Linked DNA regions of Tribolium castaneum. The protein of the gene in region 3 purifies or fractionates together with the protein of the main gene of each other region. This does not show direct contact. Links are inferred from orthologs where the notes say so. Each region holds a gene or a part of one and is shown on either strand. Other genes may lie near its edges.

What was found.
Region 1: the proteins of protein AAR2 homolog (region 3) and ecd purify together in Homo sapiens (affinity purification with mass spectrometry; 3 studies listed by BioGRID and IntAct, counting the BioPlex papers as one, with this or other methods). This does not show direct contact. The link is inferred for Tribolium castaneum from reciprocal best matches to the Homo sapiens genes AAR2 and ECD.
Region 2: the proteins of protein AAR2 homolog (region 3) and splicing factor C9orf78 purify together in Homo sapiens (affinity purification with mass spectrometry; 3 studies listed by BioGRID and IntAct, with this or other methods). This does not show direct contact. The link is inferred for Tribolium castaneum from reciprocal best matches to the Homo sapiens genes AAR2 and C9orf78.
Region 4: the proteins of protein AAR2 homolog (region 3) and tetratricopeptide repeat protein 27 purify together in Homo sapiens (affinity purification with mass spectrometry; 3 studies listed by BioGRID and IntAct, with this or other methods). This does not show direct contact. The link is inferred for Tribolium castaneum from reciprocal best matches to the Homo sapiens genes AAR2 and TTC27.
Region 5: the proteins of protein AAR2 homolog (region 3) and p23 purify together in Homo sapiens (affinity purification with mass spectrometry; 3 studies listed by BioGRID and IntAct, with this or other methods). This does not show direct contact. The link is inferred for Tribolium castaneum from reciprocal best matches to the Homo sapiens genes AAR2 and PTGES3.

What each region holds. Positions count from the first base shown.
Region 1 is NC_087394.1:35,465,450-35,469,397, forward strand, and holds the start of ecd (protein ecdysoneless), read right to left. Parts: upstream 2,814-3,948; 5' UTR 2,772-2,813; coding exon 2,528-2,771; intron 2,376-2,527; coding exon 2,170-2,375; intron 1,785-2,169; coding exon 324-1,784; 3' UTR 1-323. Other genes in the region: tether containing UBX domain for GLUT4, read right to left, coding at 2,958-3,310, 3,393-3,750, 3,801-3,948. UniProt on the Homo sapiens protein: Regulator of p53/TP53 stability and function. Inhibits MDM2-mediated degradation of p53/TP53 possibly by cooperating in part with TXNIP. May be involved transcriptional regulation. In vitro has intrinsic transactivation activity enhanced by EP300.
Region 2 is NC_087394.1:36,668,409-36,671,243, reverse strand, and holds splicing factor C9orf78, read right to left. Parts: upstream 1,556-2,835; coding exon 1,416-1,555; intron 1,368-1,415; coding exon 754-1,367; intron 705-753; coding exon 559-704; 3' UTR 515-558; downstream 1-514. Other genes in the region: casein kinase II subunit alpha, read left to right, coding at 1,766-1,821, 1,865-2,835. UniProt on the Homo sapiens protein: Plays a role in pre-mRNA splicing by promoting usage of the upstream 3'-splice site at alternative NAGNAG splice sites; these are sites featuring alternative acceptor motifs separated by only a few nucleotides. May also modulate exon inclusion events.
Region 3 is NC_087397.1:5,819,689-5,822,947, reverse strand, and holds protein AAR2 homolog, read right to left. Parts: upstream 1,850-3,259; 5' UTR 1,778-1,849; coding exon 1,372-1,777; intron 1,325-1,371; coding exon 1,000-1,324; intron 946-999; coding exon 543-945; 3' UTR 508-542; downstream 1-507. Other genes in the region: sbm (b(0,+)-type amino acid transporter 1), read right to left, coding at 2,810-2,874, 2,925-3,093, 3,146-3,259. UniProt on the Homo sapiens protein: Component of the U5 snRNP complex that is required for spliceosome assembly and for pre-mRNA splicing.
Region 4 is NC_087394.1:32,815,673-32,819,722, reverse strand, and holds the start of tetratricopeptide repeat protein 27, read left to right. Parts: upstream 1-1,239; 5' UTR 1,240-1,554; coding exon 1,555-2,101; intron 2,102-2,145; coding exon 2,146-2,964; intron 2,965-3,298; coding exon 3,299-4,050. Other genes in the region: uncharacterized protein LOC135265904, read right to left, coding at 1-63, 117-308, 370-502, 555-894.
Region 5 is NC_087398.1:11,209,304-11,213,301, reverse strand, and holds the start of p23 (prostaglandin E synthase 3), read left to right. Parts: upstream 1-1,190; coding exon 1,191-1,435; intron 1,436-3,998. Other genes in the region: Nost (nostrin), read right to left, coding at 855-1,084. UniProt on the Homo sapiens protein: Cytosolic prostaglandin synthase that catalyzes the oxidoreduction of prostaglandin endoperoxide H2 (PGH2) to prostaglandin E2 (PGE2).

The DNA.
Region 1 (3,948 bases), on a different chromosome or scaffold from region 3:
GCATAATATCCTAAAGTATTAAATATATTCTTTTAATTTTCATAACAAGCAGCTAAATCTAAAATACATATGCGGCTGTACAGAACGAAAAAAAGAAATGTGTCATAGTTGCAAAAACAACGTAACGTTAACACAAAATATTTTTCATATTTCTGAGGTAATATTAAGCATGTAATCAAATCGTTCGTGTTCTGTACAGCTTAACGTGTGAATCTCGTACACTGTATACATCAATAGTGAAAAGACAATGGCAGTAAACCTCCTTATTGGCACGCGCTACAAAAATTAACAGTAAATCAATAAATCGCGCTTAAATAATCATCTCAATCATCGTTATTACTGACATCCAAGTGCACCCCCATCGGCCCTAACATATTACTCGACGGTCCCGCCTCCCCCAACTGCGACTTATAACTCTCCAGAATATTCTTCAACGCATTCACGTCAATATCAACAGGTTTAAAACTCTCAATATCCTCAAACCCGTCCCCGTTCTTCTTCTCGAAACTTTCCCCGATTGTGGTCGCCGCCAGTTCCTTATCCATCTGTTCCATATACTCCTGCATTTTATTTTTAACCCCTTCGTACATCTCCTCATTCCCGGCAACATCGTCGGCGTAATCGCTCATATCAGACCCAGAATCCAAATCCCAACTGTCATCTTCCGGAATGACAAAATTCAGGATGTTCTGAACGGCGCAAGAAAACGCATTCGGATCAAAACTAACTCTATTATTAGCTGTTGTCTCGGTTTTTGTGCCACTTGCGAACGAAACTTTGGTGCGTTTTTTCACGCCTCTAGGGGGCCGAGTTGGGGAATTGTCCAGGTCTGGGTGCTCAACTCCGTCAATATCTGACACGTGGTTTAAGAACGAGGAGATTTTTTCAGTGAAAGAGGCGGCGTCTGAGTTGTTGTTCACTGTAACGAATTTCTTTTGCCCGTATTTTTCTTCTAACATTTTATCCAACTCTTCCGGGCTGACGTTAAGCCACGAATCGTCATCGTCAGGCAAATTACTTTCCTCCTTCAATTCATCGATCTTAAAATCCAAATTTTTGATCAACTGGACAATTTCTTGCCCAATGGCTGGAGAATAGTGCATAGAGTCTCGGTGATTGATGTAGTACTCTTTCGCTTTGTTTAATAAATCGTTGTATTCTCTTGAATGCTCCAACAACCCCCGAAAATAATTTTTCTCTTTCAGTTTCTCAAAATAATTAACCCACCCTTTATCCTGTTCAATGTCCTGGCTTGGTTTGGCTTGCGCGGCTAAAATCTCAAACCCACAGGCGATTTTAACGCCTAAATTCTGCGCTTTAAACTGTGGGCTGTCGCTTTTAGGCAAGTTCCAGCCGGTTCTGCGATCCGGAACGTATTTACTGTGAGTTAGCATTGCGTATAAACATTTAGTAAATGTCACTCTGGCATTTACGCGGTTTTCGGGCGGAAAATATTTCATGGCTTTGCAGGTTTTGGCGTCAACTGGGTCTCGATTACAAAAGACTTGGACGGCGGGGGCTATAAGCCCGGGTTTGTGGCGCAAAATTGCAGCGACACCTACTGGTAGGTAGGCAGTGGCATGGTGAAGACTGGACTGGATTTTGTCAGGGTAGTCTTTTAATTTGTTGATTATACAGTTTTGGATGTCTGATGAGGCTAAAGTGTCGATCGGATTGTTTTGGATTGTTGAGACGGCCTCATTGACCGCCATTTGGGCCATTTCTGGGAGGTGATCCGAGGTGTCTAGAGGGATGATATGAATGTTGCCTTGGTAAATGTATACCTGGAGAAAAACCAGATCCAAGTCAGTTTTGCTTCAGTTATTACAGAAATGTATAAATAATTATAAATGCTTAACTAATAAATTATTACTTAAGTGAATTTTAATGTAGAAGTACTATCTTATAGAGCTGCAATTTTGTTGCAATTTTTTCACATGTTGGTACAGCTTCGTTCATTGACTTGTGTTGCATTCGTTAAATTATTTTTTTGATGGTAACATTTTAAGCCTTCTTTTTCACATCTGAATGCTAGATTATAAACACTATTTTAAAACACTCTTACCATAGCAACGTTTTTTAATTAAAATTTCCAACAAAAAAATCAATTATCACTTTATTCTAATTTGAATTAGAAAAAAGACAAGCACAGATAATGAGAAACCTTACCCTATTTTCGCAGTTGTTAGGGTCTGCCCATAAAGGTAAGTAATCAGCTGCTTCAATTAAAATAAATTCGCCATCAGCGTCGTGCACACGAGCTATTAAACCATCAATTTCCTTAGTTAGGAGACGTAAAAGGAACACAATAAACCACTCGTCCTCTATATTGTCTCCAAAATGAGTTACGCCATATAAATGTGGTGGTAAATACTCTGCAAAACAATTGATCTCGAATTAGGTGATTCAAAAAATTGTTACATTGTGATTTATACAGATTTACTTTAAACAAAGCATTTGCTGGTTTATAACCTCAAAAAATGTAAAAGCACTTTTTTAATGTGAAGTCATAAAATACGACCATTACCTGTTTTTTCACTATCATGAATCAGTGAATTACTAATCCACGTTCTCACAGTTAATTTAAATTCGTCTTTATGCCATAAATACTCATCGGTGTACCTTTTTACGATTTTTTCACACTGATTTAAAACTCTGGTTAACGCAAGTTCTTGTTCTTTGTCGTCCTGGGAATCAATAGGTGGAAAAAGATGATATTCAACAAAATCATCTTCACGAACGGACTCAAGAACGTTAACTTTACTTGCCATTGTTGTTTTAAAAGTAATCAATTAAAAAATTTGAATGACATTTGACACACCATTGGTGCCAATAAAACAAAACTCCCCAAACTATTCAAAAACACCCGCTCCTCTCACCAAAATAAAACAAAATTAGATGCTGAAGTGCTTTTATTTAATATAAGTACCAACTCATATAAACTTAACACTAATAAATCACTTTGATGGTCTAAACCACTTAGGGACTTTTTCCGTTGATTTTATTACTTTCCTCTCGTAACTGGTTGGTTGTGTACTTGGCCCAGCAGCATTTGCTTCAGTCAGTGTATCCATAGACTCATCCTGGCCCATTTCTTCACTCGGAGATTCGGGTCTTGTTCCCTTTTGCCGCAACTGTGACGCCGCTAAACTTGCTTTTGAGTTTGTTGTAAATTTATCCCTCAATTCCGCCTTCAAGCACACAGAACTCCCATCACCATTTGCTCCTAAATGCAACAAAGCCCCCGGCACGCAACCAATTTCCACTAGTTTTGATTCGTCCGAGAGAACATTTTTAGGCGGCGTTGTATCTGTAACAATATTTAAACATGTGATCAAAGTAGTTTCTGACTAGAGTCAAAGGTCACTTGACTGAAGTAGAACAATACTTACAAAGATGAAAATCACTGTTTGGATCTTCTAGGAAAGAAGTGACGAAATCTTTAATATCTTTAACAGTTTCGCTGGGCTTGAAGCTCCCTTGAAGGATGGACCTGTCTGGGAACTGGACGCGTATTACTGACTGTTTATATTTACGCAGTTGGCGTAATTGCTTCTTTGATTCTTCTAAATTGCGCATTGCAGAGGTCATGAGATTAGCGTTGTCCATTTCGTTTCGCTTTCTTCTAATATCGCCCAGAATTTTCTTAGCATCATCAATTGTGAGCTCAAAAAAATCGTCTGGTAGGTCTTCAGCTGGTAAAGAACGCGCCGATTCGAGAGAAAATAACATTGCCTTGCGCTCGCCCAACTGAAAATTTCAAATACAAAATAAAATAATAAAAATAAAATGCTACATACAAAAACAAAATCGTCCTCAAGCTGACTAGATGATGGGTTGGTAACTGGCTCTTTTGGGTAATTTGCGATGTTTTCTGGCAAATCAACATCCATTTTTTCGTCGTCAGACTCAACTTTGGGTTTAGTTTTAGGCGAATGCGTTTCCGTT
Region 2 (2,835 bases), on a different chromosome or scaffold from region 3:
ATTTAGCAGCAATTTGCTCGAAAACTATTAGTCGGAGAACAATAATCTTTTTTGAAAAAAATAGATAATTTAAAGAGCTTTCCAACGATAATACACTTCATGGGGTTATCTCTAATAGTTCCGGAGCTATTGCTCGACAAATGTTCCGGGTACCCAAAATCGACAAAAACTGCGACGAAAATTGAAAAAATCAAACATCAAAAAATCGAACATTTGGACTTTTTGTGGACTTTTAACAACTTTTGTGGGTTGTTAAGACATGTAGGAGTCCATAAAAAGTTCCTAGAGTTAGTTAAAAAAAAATTTTTGTTTCACCTCTTGAAGGTACTCAGGAAATTTGAGCAAAAAAAATTGAAAATTTTAAATTGCGTGAAAAATTAGTATAATAGAGAAAAAAAGCCGCTGAATCCAATGGAACAAACCGCATTGCTCTACGACTTTTAGTTTTTGAGTTATGAATTTCAAAACAACACAGTGATTATTTGCTCGGATTTTTAAAAGAAATAAAAACAAATCAAAATAAATAATTTATTCAAAAATAAAAAACACTACAAAAGGCTAATATCTCCTAAATTGTTTTTTGAACTTTTCGTAGTGATAATCATCGGTGGCCCTCTCATCCTTTTTCTTCGGCTTTTCCGTAGCCTCCTCCACTTTATCATCCAACTTGGCCTTCTTTTTAGCAACCTCTGCGTCTATATTAACTGTAAAAAAAGTAAAAAACTCCAAATATGAGCAGTTCTGCCAACTCACATCGATTGTGCTGCACAAAATTCACCGCCATATTCGTCGGCACAAAAGGCGAAGGCCCGTCCTTCTTATTCTGCTTCTCCCACAGCAGCCTCAACTTCGCCTCTTCCGTAGCTTCAATATTCTTAATCTTGGCCTCAATCCCCAGGTCCACTTCCGGAATCCCATTCAACATCTGATTGGACAACATCTCCTCCGACCTCTTCGTCGACGACTCCCTCAAATGGTCCGGGACTGCCCTCAAAGCCGCCTCCTCGGGGCTGGTGTACGCCGACTTGTTCTCAGCCTCGGCCTGCTCCTGGGGCTCGACCTTGCGCTTCTTCTTCGACAACTCTTCTTCAATAAACTTCATCATTTCCTCGTCTTCGTCACGTTTATTCGTCTCGACCGAAAACTGGGTCCCTATGCCAGTGTCGTACGCATCATCGACTTGCTTGACTTTGCCGCTTTTAAGGGCTTGCATGTTGACCATGCCGCCGGACTTCACCTTGAAAGGGTCCTTTGAAATGCACTCGTCCTCGATGGTGATTTTGGTACCTAGGGCTAGCCCCAAGGCGTTGACTCCATGGGGGCGCTTACGCAAGTTTTGTAACTCCTTCATTTCTTCTAGTTTGGTGCTAAAAGCAACGTTAGGGGAGGCACCACAGTGAAGGGGGTCTTGTTACCTGACCTCCTCCAGGTCCTCCTCTCGGTCACTACCATCCGAGGGGCGCCTTTGGCGCAGCTGTTTACGGTTTTTACGTTTAAAAACGGGTTTCGAGTCATTTGAATCGTTAGATTCGGTTTTAATCCCACTTGTTGACATGACGAATTTGAGGTTATGACGCCCCAATAACTACACCAAAAACGACCAAAACCACCACAAGACACTCGAGACTGGCTCACAAAACACAAAATAATTCATAATTCGTGTGGCACCATTAAATTAAAGCCACAATTGTGTTTTTCGCTTAATCGGGTTAGGGATTTTCGTTTTGTCGTTTAGTGACAAGTAAGCACCCCGTTTAAATTTCAAATGTCAAAAAAAGATTTCAAAAAATTTGTGCCAAAAATGGATTTGGACGACACACCGTAAGTGTTTTAGGCCTAAAATTACCAAAATAACACAAATTAGTCGTAGCGTTGTTGTTACAACATCACGGGTATACTCGGACGTGTTCTCAAACAAGCCCTCTTCCTACTTTGAGTACGACAACTACAACCCCCCGACTGACGATATCAACAATTACAGTTTGATTCGGAAAATCGGTCAAGGGAAGTACAGTCTAGTGTTCGAGGGGGTGCACGATGGTACTAACGATTCGGTCGTGGTCAAGTTGCTAAAACCGATCAAAAAACCGAAAATCAAACGTGAAATTAAAATTTTGGAGCACTTGAGGAACGGCCCCAACATTGTGAGTTTATATGCCGTGGTGTCGGTGCCTTCCACAGCTTTGCACGCCCTGATTTTCGAATCCCCGTCAAATAATGAGGACTTTAAGGAGGTTTATTTGAAATTGAGTGATTCCGATATCCGGTTTTACATTTACGAAATTTTGAAAGCCCTTGATTTCTGTCACAGCAAGGGCATAATGCATCGTGACGTCAAGCCGCACAATATCATAATTGACCGGAAAAATCGCAAAATCCGGTTGATTGATTTCGGTTTGGCTGAGTTTTACCGTCCCGGAGAACGTTACAACGTCCGGGTGGCGTCTCGGCATTACAAAGGCCCGGAATTGTTGGTAGAGTACGGTTATTACGACTATTCCCTCGACTTGTGGTCGCTTGGGTGCGTTTTTGCCGCAATGATCTTCCGTAAAGAACCTTTCTTCCAAGGATTTGATAACCGCAACCAACTGTATTGCATTGTTAAAGTGTTGGGCACGAGCAAGTTTTACTCTTATTTGAATAAATACAACATTGTGCTGGAAGGTAGCATGCAGGAGATGTTGGGGATTCACTCGAAAAAACCCTGGCAGAGATTTGTCAATACGGAGAATGAGCATTTAGTGAATCAGAATGCCTTTGATTTTTTGGAATCGTTGCTTTGTTATGATCACATGGAAAGATGTACGGCTCAGGAGGCCTTGGGGCATAAGTATT
Region 3 (3,259 bases):
ATGCACTTTTTTTTATTCGTGTTGATTTGTTTTAGCAAAGTTGATAATATTATAAATATTTATTAGGTAGGTAGGTGCTCGTATTTGATTTTTTCGCTAAATGGTCAAAAACGATTTATTTCAAATACTATTAAACTTCCTTTAATGTCCACCTCTGAATAACGGACACCTCTCCACAACGGACAATTAAAAATTCCTCATCGATGTCCCTTGGTGAGAGGTTTTACTGTCTTGTCAGTTTTCTGTTTTATTAAGACGTCTTTAATTCGTGAGTTTTTATATCGATGGGTAATGTGAACTTGTCACAACTTTTGGATGTGACTTTAAAAAAACTTCGTTTAATAGGTTTTTTTGTTTTCAATATTTCTTCATTTTTTATTTAGTTAACTTGTTCTACTTTGTTTCACCTTGTATATATTTTTTTTGAACTATGATGTATGTACTATACAACTTTTCCACTATTCTTTGTTTCATAATTCTGGGAATTCTTGTTAATAAAATTCAACATGAAGTAAAATAGTTTTATTTTCAACACAACAAAATTAAGTTTCTACAATAACTGGGGCTTCGTCGTCTTCATCGGAATCCAGATGTTCAAAATCCCACAAAAACGTCGTAGTTAAAGAATTTTTAAATCGAACGACTTTACTTTTAAATTGTCCGTCAACGTTTGATTCATGAATCGACCTAAATAATTTTTTCAAATTAACATAAACAAAATTATCGTTTGAAACAATATCTGCTAAGAATTCTTCCGGTATTTCCTTTATATGTACTTCTAAAACTGTTATAAATAAATCGAATAATTTTCTATATTTTGTAATAGCGGCATCACAGGAACAAAACAAAGTCACTAGTTTTTTCCACTGGTCAAATGCCTCCAAACTGTGGCCTACAAGGAAACAAATGTAGCAGAATTCCAGCTCACCGATGATTTCCGTAGACCTTCAATAAAAATTTAAATTAACATAATGTTACGTTTAATCTAACATTACATACTCAGAATACTGTGACAAAAGTGTTTCAAAAACAAATGTTAAATCAAGGGAATGCTGCGTAATTTCAGAGGGCGAGCTTCCCTCAGGATAGTTCTTTTCAGGGAATTTCGTCAACCTTAACTCCGTCCCTTCGATCGGTTTTAAAGCAGGCAACAAATCAAGTTCTCCACAACCGGACAAATTTTTTATCCCGCTACAAGACGGCTCACTCGCCTCCCCCTTTTTTCTTTTAGCCCCCCTGGGCCGCTCGGCATCGCTGCACGACTGCAGCTCCAAAGCAGCCCTCACTTGCCCACACTGCGGCACCAATTTCCCCAACAAATTTTCTAAAAAAAAACGTCTAAAAACCCCCCAAAAAATTGAATCAGTCTACCGGTGATGCTCCCCACTAAGCTGGCCCACCGCTCCGCAATATCGAACGGATAAGGCCCCAGAAACCCATCAAGAGCCCTCAAATTCTCCTTCAAACTCACGATTTCCGACTCATTGACTTGCTCGTCACTGATTTGCTCATTTACCTTTGACCATTTTTTCACCAGGACTTCGCCCGGTTTAAAATTGTGGAAAAACCCAACTCTGGGGGCCACATCGTCGGTTGTCGCACTAACAGAGTTGTAAAATATGAAGTGCACGCCTGGGGGGATCATTTTAACCCCGCGGAACTTCTCCCCCGTGTTCCAGGATTTGAGGTCGATGCCGAACTCGGTGCCCTCGGGGACCCCCAGGAGGATGAAGAAGGCGCCCTCGGAGAGCAGGCGTCGAGCTGTGGCTTGGTCCATGTGTTTGTTTACGTTTTTGGCAAATTGTCAATTGTGAGGTTAGGATTGTGTCAAGTATTGACACAATTGTCATGTTATGCAACCAGTAATGCCGTCCAAAAAAGTGGGAATTTTGGTTTTGGGCAAAAATAAATAAAACTTCTTCTGTATTACAATATATTTCTTTATATTGCACAACAATATACGCTTTACATTTGGCAACAATTTTACTTTTCTAAATTTTATACAAAAGCTATTATCAAATGATAAAAATAACAATTTTTGCTTAATAAATCGATGTTTCCAAGATTCGTTCGAGAGTATTGTAGATATGTTAATGACTATTTGAAGAAAATATTTTCTTTTTCGCCACCCTATTCAGCAGGTACTTTGAGGGGAATAGAAATGTTTGAATTAATATCCCTGTCGCTAACTGTGGTAATACTCTCTTCGAGATTCGAATCTTTTAGTACTGCTTTTAAGAAATGAAATAAAAAACTGTAGAAAACCCAAAGTCGCAATTAACATTGTTTAGGTAAGGAATAACAGATTCATATTTTACCTGAAACATGTCAATCTATTGTGTTTTGAAATTTTATCATGGTTACAGGAACTTTACTAATATAAAAATAAGTTCATAAAAAAGTCAGACTTTTTGCAGTAAATGTATAGTTAATATAAAATGCACAACTATCAAATTCAAATAAAATTAGCGAAAACATCGACGATATTACACCGAGTAATTAAATTTCACATTTATCTACTGTATAATACGTTCACTCTAAGTTTTATTGCTCGACACTAATTTTATTTGAACGAACGAAACAGTTATGGATATCCACGTTGCACCCCATGAGATACCCCGATGGTTGGGAATGATCCGTGCAATTTACCTACATTTTACATTTATAATAATTTTCATCTAGTTCCATCTACACATTTTCAAGTCACAGTAAGCACAAAAATAACGTTGTATAGATGAAACCAAGAGTTTTACCTGTAACCATGACCCTCTACCAGCTACAAATATATAAATTTGAGCTTTCTGCCGTTCTACTCCAACATTGTCGATGTTGGTGCTACTTCAAATATCATCTGCAGGAAAACAGTCACGCCGTCTGAAAATAAATATTAAAAAAAAAAAACTAACAGTGTGGAGTGGACGCACCCATGAATGGGATCCGCATTTTGTAATGCACAAAGGGGACGTAAAAAACCATCCCACTGAAAATGAACAGCGCTGCATACAGGTACTCAATGGTAGGCTTGTCTACTATAGGAGCTACTATCAGGTAGAAAGAGATCACTAATACCACATACGGAATGATAATTGGCACCTGGAACAAATTGCAAAATCACAAAAAACTAAATCTTGGGTATAAAAAGTACCTTGTAGGGCCTAGGATAGTTGGGCTTAGTGTATCGCATCACAATCAGAGCCAACATCGCGCCCCCGTAGAAAATCCACGCAGTGAAGCTGAAGAAGTCAATCAGCGAGTCGAT
Region 4 (4,050 bases), on a different chromosome or scaffold from region 3:
GACGTCGATGGCACTTCCTCTAAATTCATTGTCGATGGTACTGTTTCTTCCGGTATATCAACACTATTCAAATGATCAAATTGTAAATCAATTTAAAACTAGGATTCACTTTTTACCTTAATGATTCAGCGGAACTAGAACAAGAAGGGAGTCCTTGTTTTTTCATCTTTTTTTTTTCTGGAGATTCCACTTGAAAATAGGCTCTTTTTGCGATATTGTGCAAAAATAATTCAGGACCATTTTCCTTTCTTCCATCCCGAAAATGGCAGCTGCAAACGTAGGCTCCTGGTCCGGGTTCTACATCTCTTCTACATTTAACAATGAAACAAGCAATTAAAAATTAATATCAAAACATCTATTAAAAATTACCTCAACAATTTTTTCCATAGTGCTCGTTCTTTTCCCGACTTAGGAAAACTAAAAAAATGGCATTTATCGCGAGTACTATAGTGTTTGCAATCTGGAGCCCAACACATTCCCATAGTTGTGATGTAAAAACCTACTACACATGAACTATCAAAGTATCGCAACAAAATATTATTCACAAATCATACCTAATGATGTACCACAAAAATGAGATAATGTCTTGGAAAAACAGAATTTTAAAAATTCAAGAACACGAAGATATGGAGAACGATCGGAAAAAACACGATAACAAAAGACACTCACGAAAGAAGCACAGAACTCACAACCCGTACTACTTTCAACCATGTATGTGCCTGAACCCTCTACCCTCGTATACCTGCTATTCATCCCTCGTGATGGGGGAGGGGGACAGAAAACAACCCGTTTATTGGGGTTGCGCCGGTTGCACCCCATGAATTCGTCATTCAGAAGAAATCCAATGTCATTAGTGTGGCAAACCATTTTTCCCTCAGTTTTAAAAGGCCACATAATAATTTACATCAATATGATGTCCAAATTAAGAAAAACTGAATTTTGAAGTTTGAAAAAAGTTAGGTTAGAAAAGGATTTATGTGTTCAACTTACAGAAATATTAGCTCAGTTGCTAAAATCTTTAAGAAACGACATTGCATTTTTCATAGCTATCATTTCTCTGTAAAAGTAATGTTCCTACACTTCTAGCATTAAAGAAATACGAAAAACTTTTAAATGCCCATAAGAAAAGCATTGAAAATGGCGATTGTTTAGCTTTAAGGTGCTGACCTACCTCAAATGTCTACGTCACACTGATAGCGCGTATAGTGTTTTTTTATGGAGCTAGGGTGGCGTACAGTTCATAAACATAAACACTATTCCACGTTTCGAGTTCCACGTTTTCGAGTTTAATTGGTCGTGGGGTTTGTTTCCTTTTAGTTAACTGGGGCGAAGCCCCAGCCACGCGCAACATATTTCCATAAAAACCACTATTCCAATATGCCCAGCTGAAATGAGAAGTCCGTTATGGTCTCCGTTCGTACTGTTCCGACCTCGCTCGCAACATTTCGACTGAGCGAACATTTGTAGACCGGCAGGGGCTAGCCGCTAGTGGTGCAACTGCCCACTTTTCGAGGTTAATTTAACCTGTGAACATGTGAACAAGAATTGTTAACAATGGGGGAGGTTTACGATTTGATTAAGAAGTTTCATCTTCATTCGAAGACCCACAAAGTCCAGGACGGTGGCACAGAAGAGTGGGTTAGTTTGGTTTTGCGCGAAAAATACTGGGATGACATTCTCGTGTTGTATGCGAACAATGCGCTGATTAAGGACTTTTTCAACTCGAAAAGTGACCAAGAGCGGGAGGAGTACCTCATTTTTGGGATTGCGTGCTTCACTTACTTCGTCCAATGCAACTTTACCGGGCCCCCCATCCCCAAAGTGATTGACGAATTCCTGGCCAAAGACAAGTTCAAGTCGTTTGATTTCGCCAGTCGGTTGGCCATGAACGGCGAAGACATCAACGTTAATACGAAAAATCCGGCCCTTTTGGCCGTTTCTGAGTTCATATTTGATTGTTGTGTCGTCAACACTTTGGTCAACTTGTGGTGGTGTTGCCGGGCTTTGATGATACACCAGGACGTTCTAGACGACTTGAGCCCCTCTTTGTTATCAAACGCCGACCGTCTCCACAAACTGCTCCAAGAACAACCGCTAAAAGGTGCGTTTTCTTGCACCAGTTCTTTGTAATTGACTGAATTTTAGGTGTTTTGAAAGCTGAGCTTAATACAGAACTGGCCCAAATGTACCTCAAATTCCGCCACATCACCAAAGCTCAAGACCACATCACGTCGGCGTGTGATGTGTTAGGACTGGCGTACGATTTTGTCGGTAAATTAGGCAAAAGAACGAAATTTCAAACCGATGAATTGGCACAACTTACTGTAAAAGTCACACTAGCCGATCAAGACGAAATAAAACGGCCTGAAATTGACGATATTGTTGTGCCGCAAAATTTCAGTCTCAATGACGACGTTAGATTGGACCAAGTCACATTTTCGGAAGAGTCCGATTCGGCAAAATTGCCCAATGCTGAGCAAAAACTGATTCTAACAATCATACGCAAGAAAATGATTTCTAGTCCCTCTGATGAGCTGCAAAGTGAGGAGATTCTACCCTTCATTGAGATGATTCTGAGCCAGAAGAACACGTACACAGTGCGTGTGATGGCATTGTTGTTGCGCTGTCAGTTAGAGTCCAATAATAAGAGGACTATTGAAAGGTGTTTGAAGCAGTGTGAGGACATTATCAGTAATTTCACAAAGGAGGAGCCGCCGGCAAGTAATAGAGTGGGTGATGTTTTCGGGACGGCAATGCTGCCCATTTGGAAAGTCCAAGCAGAGTATGCCGATATTTTGCTTAATTTTGGTTTGGTGAAAAACAGTTTGGATGTTTATTTGAGAATTCAGTTGTGGGAGGAAGTTATTATTTGTTACAATATTTTGAAAATGAGGGAAAAGGCGGCTGAAGTTATTAGGCAGCAGCTTGAGGTGAAGCCGACGGTGAAGTTAATGTGCCTTCTAGGTTTGTTTTTAATTTTTTTGTTAATATATTGCTCTATTTAAATGATTACGTCGTGATTTTTGTTTTTAATGTTCAATTTCATTATTTTTACCTTTTTCGAATGTATTTTTCTTGAGATTTTGTTTAATCGGACCTAAAAATGACATTGTTTTTGTCTTTCTCGAGCCATTTAGCACGTATTTAAACAAAAAAAAAACACATTTCGTAAAACTAACGCCAAATGTCATCAGTTCAAAAGTTCCTGATGCTTCTTGCGATTTTAAATTAGATTCCAAAAATGAATTAAAATCTGATTTACTCAATTGCTTTCATTTAATTTTTGTATTTCTTTAAGGTGACGCGACTGACGATGTAACATGTTACGAAACAGCCTGGGAGATGTCCAAGAAGCGCAGCCACCGGGCGCAAAGACACTGGGGGCGCTTTTTATTCGCACGCAGAAAATACGAAGAATGCATTCCACATTTTGAGAAATCTCTCAGCATAAACCCTCTCCAAGCCAACATTTGGCTAGGTTTAGGTTTCGCAGCCTTGCAAATAGAAAACTGGCAAACGGCAGCAACAGCCTACCGCCGCTACACCACCCTAGAACCTGACGGTTTTGAGGCTTGGAACAACCTAGCCCAAGCCTACATCAAACTGGGAAACAACCGCAGCGCACACCAAGCCATCCTGGAAGCCTTGAAGTGCAACTTCGACAATTGGAAAGTCTGGGAAAATTTGCTTCTAATCAGCTGTGATATCTCGAATTATTCGGATGTAATCCGCGCCTACCATCGCATAATCGATTTGAAAGAAAAGTATTTAAATGTGGAAGCTTTGAATATTCTTGTGTATAGTGTTTGTAACGACGCCACTGATTCTGAAGGGAATTCCGCGAGGAAGTTTTTGCAAAAAATCCGGGAGTTGTTGGGGAGAGTTGCAGGGTTGTATCCCAGCAATGGGCCAGTCTGGGAGTTGTATGCCAGTTTAGCGCCGGTTTTGTTACTTAGGGCCCAGCGACTGCAAAGGGCCTACAGGGGATACACCCAAGGGTCGTGGGACAAAGACCCGAAAACTTGTTTGTATGTTTTAAATGTGTGCAGA
Region 5 (3,998 bases), on a different chromosome or scaffold from region 3:
ACTACAAGGTATTCTGAATTTTCCTGTTGCAAATTTTCAGGAAAATATTCATAGGCGATTTTGAAGTGATTTTTCAAAAATTGGTCTCTCTTATAACGAAAAACTGAATCATTCCAAAAGAAAAAAGATAGACCCATAATAGTTTATATAAAGTTACATTATTTCTTTGCGTAGATTCCAATTATGCGAAAATATATAGGGTGTTCCATTTAAAAAAATATAACTTTGGTATACAACACCCTGTGTATAAAAAAAATATTTTTAGTTTGTGGATTTTAAGTCGATCTCTTGGATAAATAAAAACAGCATAGCAATAGTTCAATTCCCAAAAAAGTTAAAGACCGATTACACACCCCTGGGTCACCTACTGTATATTAAAAATAGAAGCGGTTCAAAAGTTGAGCCTTGTGGAACACCGGACGTAATATTACCTGCTTTTGATTGGGAGTTGCCTATAGTAGCAACTTGTTTTTTTATTTTGTCAAATAAGGAAGAAAAAATAATTTTTAAAGCCATAATAGTATATTATGATACAAGTTTTATAAGCCACATTTTGTCGCACGCACGAATTTAGAGCACGACGAGCGCAACGACAAAATGCCTTATAAACAAGATATCATACAGTATTTTTTCTACTTCGCACTTTTTGTACCAACAAAATTAATTTCAAAATTTAGGAAATTTTGGGGCTGTTGATAAATTGCCAGTTTATTACAATATTCAAAAATTTCGTTACACTCATTTGCGAATTTATTGGAGACTTAATAAATGGAAGATGGTAATTTTTGATGTCTGTCATTAGTTCTATTTGTAACGACAAATTCAGTGACTAGATGAAAATCATTAAAACACACCTTGTACCATTTTCCATTGCGTCTTGGAATTTTTCGTCGTCGGTGTCACTATCACTATCACTGTTTACAAAAACACTGTTTGGCACAGTTCTAGTGCGGTCGTATTCCTTTTGGGCCGCTTCCAAGTCGTAAGAGCCCGATTTTCGCTCGGTAGCGGCTTTTTTCGAGTTGATATTCGGAACGGTGATTCTCCACTGCTGTTTCGTTATTTTATTGCAGATTTTTTTCATTTTCGCTCGCGTCGCACTCAATTGCTGCTACTTACTGACACTCATTTGTGAAAAAAGCAGGATAAACGCTAATTAGGTTGTGTGTACGGTTAGATAAGGAAGGAAAATGTTGACGTCGATGAAACTGTTAAAGGTAAATTATTGGGAAGGTCGCATATTGTGCTTGCTATCATATGACGGTGACATAACACAACACTCGAAAGTTCACATTTTTCACTTTTCGCACTCGCGCTTCATTCAGAACTACCGCAGGGCCAACGCGGAGCAAGACCTCACTATATTAGTCTGTGGTGCTATAATTATCACATGTGTGTGTGGCTTAGACGGATGTATTGATGCCCATCAGACCACGTGAGAACCGCTCTTTTCGACGACATTAAACTGATTTGTTGACGCGAGTTAATTCGTTTCAAATGACTCGGAAACGTATGCAAAAATGAAAGTTTTCCACATTCTTTACACGACTTTGCCATCAGAAATGTTGGCAAATATTTTGATAACGCAAATATTGTAAAATGATTCAGTAAATCAGTTTGGTCGTAATGAGGTCGCTATTTTAATTAACTGAACTAATTGGGACAGATAACTAACGGGGTAATTCAATTAGCTAATTGAAATGTTTGCATTTTTGCGCCGTATCCAAGTTCAAATAGAATGAATTAAAGAAAGTGCAGAAATACAGAATAAAAGACGGAAAAAAATTAATCTTTTCGTTTTTCTCTGCTCTAGTACAGTCAGATCTGGTGATTTCGATGCTAATCTGGACAAAACGCTGGTTTTTTCAAACTGTAAAAGGTGGTCACAGATGGTGATTATTTGATCACTGATTATTTGACAATTTTGTTGCCAGAATAAAACTTTACGGTCATTGAAAAAATATTGTAAGTAATTAACTCATTTGTTAATTATCTTTCACAATACTTCAATCTATGTATTTTTTTTCAGAATGTTTCTACCCTTCCTTTAATTAAAATTGATTAATTAAGGATATTAATTAATCGGTAATTTATGATTTCTTGTGTTACCTTAAAACAATACGGTGGTTAAACGATGTTCTCGAAAAAAAGCAAAATTTCGTTTATTTGAATTTCTAATTTTTACTTACATTCGATTCACTTCAATAAAAACCATTGTGGTGCAAATAGCGTACTCTGGGCATTAACTTTCATATGGGTTGTCATGGTAACAGGTTAGTCATTTGCACCACAATGGTTTTTATGAAAGTAAACCGAAAGTAATTATTTTATTCTTCAACAGTGCCAAAATTTACAGTTTTTTTTCTGTGTAAGAAAGTTTTGACAACTGTTTGACATTTCTCACTACGAAACATGAGATTATTTTTAACAAATTTAAGCAATTTTAAGGATCGGTTTATAGAAACGTCATTAATTTAATTCGCAATTAATTGCGTGATTAACGGATCACGTGACCAAATTGAGCAAATCTGATTGGTCCATTTGCGTTGTTGACTTTTAACAGCGAATTAAATTTTAACGAAGCTTTCTATAAACCGGCCCTAAGCTTTGTTGAGTTTAATTCGAAGATTAAAATGTTGTATTCAACTCGTTTTCATGTAAATCGGTTCATTTAATTTACCTCGTGGATAATAAACCCCTCGTTGTCATTCGACGTTTAAAAATCCGATTTACACTCAAACTCGGTAAATAAATAACTATTTTGGGACTAGCAATACTTTTTTACAGATATTTATAACAATTTTTTGCAGCTATTTAAAAGTAATTAATTAATTTTATTTATTAGAAATTGTAGAAAAATTCTGGAAAAATTCACAGGCATAAAGAAAATGACAAAAAACTGAACAGCATTTAGAATTCTGGGCGATTTATTAGTTCTAGATAATAGTAATAAATATACTTTTAATAGACTCACACTGTATAAATATTAACAAACTAGATTATGCAATATTATAACTATGTACTACACAAATAGTAAATTAAGTTCAAATGACGTAAGAATTTTTTGCGTTTCTCAAAAACATAGTTAGATAAATTTAATTAGATAATAATTGATTAATTTATTAGACCACTCCGGAAAATCAATTAAACGCAATTATTCGCAAAATTTTATTAAAAACAAGTTGGAAATCCACCAAATTATACAAAAAAAAATTTGTTTTCTGTTGAAACCTGATAAAAAAACTAAAAAATATCAAGTTGAATTAAAACTAGAATATGCTACTCTCGATTTAGTCTATTTTTGAACCGAAAATCATATTTTGGAAGACCTTGTCTGAACATATAATATTTAGAAACAACGAAACAATGATGTTAACTAATTTATTGTCACGTTCTTCAACCAAAAACTCAATTATTTAGCAAAATTATTTTAAAAAATAGATAAAATTCGGCCAAAAATTGTATAAGTTTTGCATTTTTCAAGTATTTGAGCACTTTTTTTGAAATAAAAATTAAGTTTTTTTTCGAAATTAATCTAATAAAATACTAAATCGACTTGAAAAAGGTGTTATTTTACCCTTTTCAAACTTCAAGCAATTCAAAAAATGACTATGTTTTTTGTGAGACTGAAAAATCACATAACTAAGTAAAAAATTATAATAATTTTGTTCTTTCCAAGCATATACTTTACCACATTTTACAGCCTGATACGCAATTATTTTGCGAAATTTCATTAAAAACAAACTGAAAAATTTTATTATTTTCGAAAATTTTGCCTGAACTGGGTAAAAAATCGTAAACTTAGGTCGAAATTGAGGTTCTTTTAGCTTGTATCGCTGGACTTTAAAGCAAAGACTTAAGACTGGTTTATCGAAGTGTCATTAATTTAATTCGAAATTAAATATGTGATTAACGGATCACGTGACTAAATTGAACTAATTTGATTGGTCCATTCGTGCTGTTAACTTTTAACAACGAATTAAGTTTAAACAAAGCCG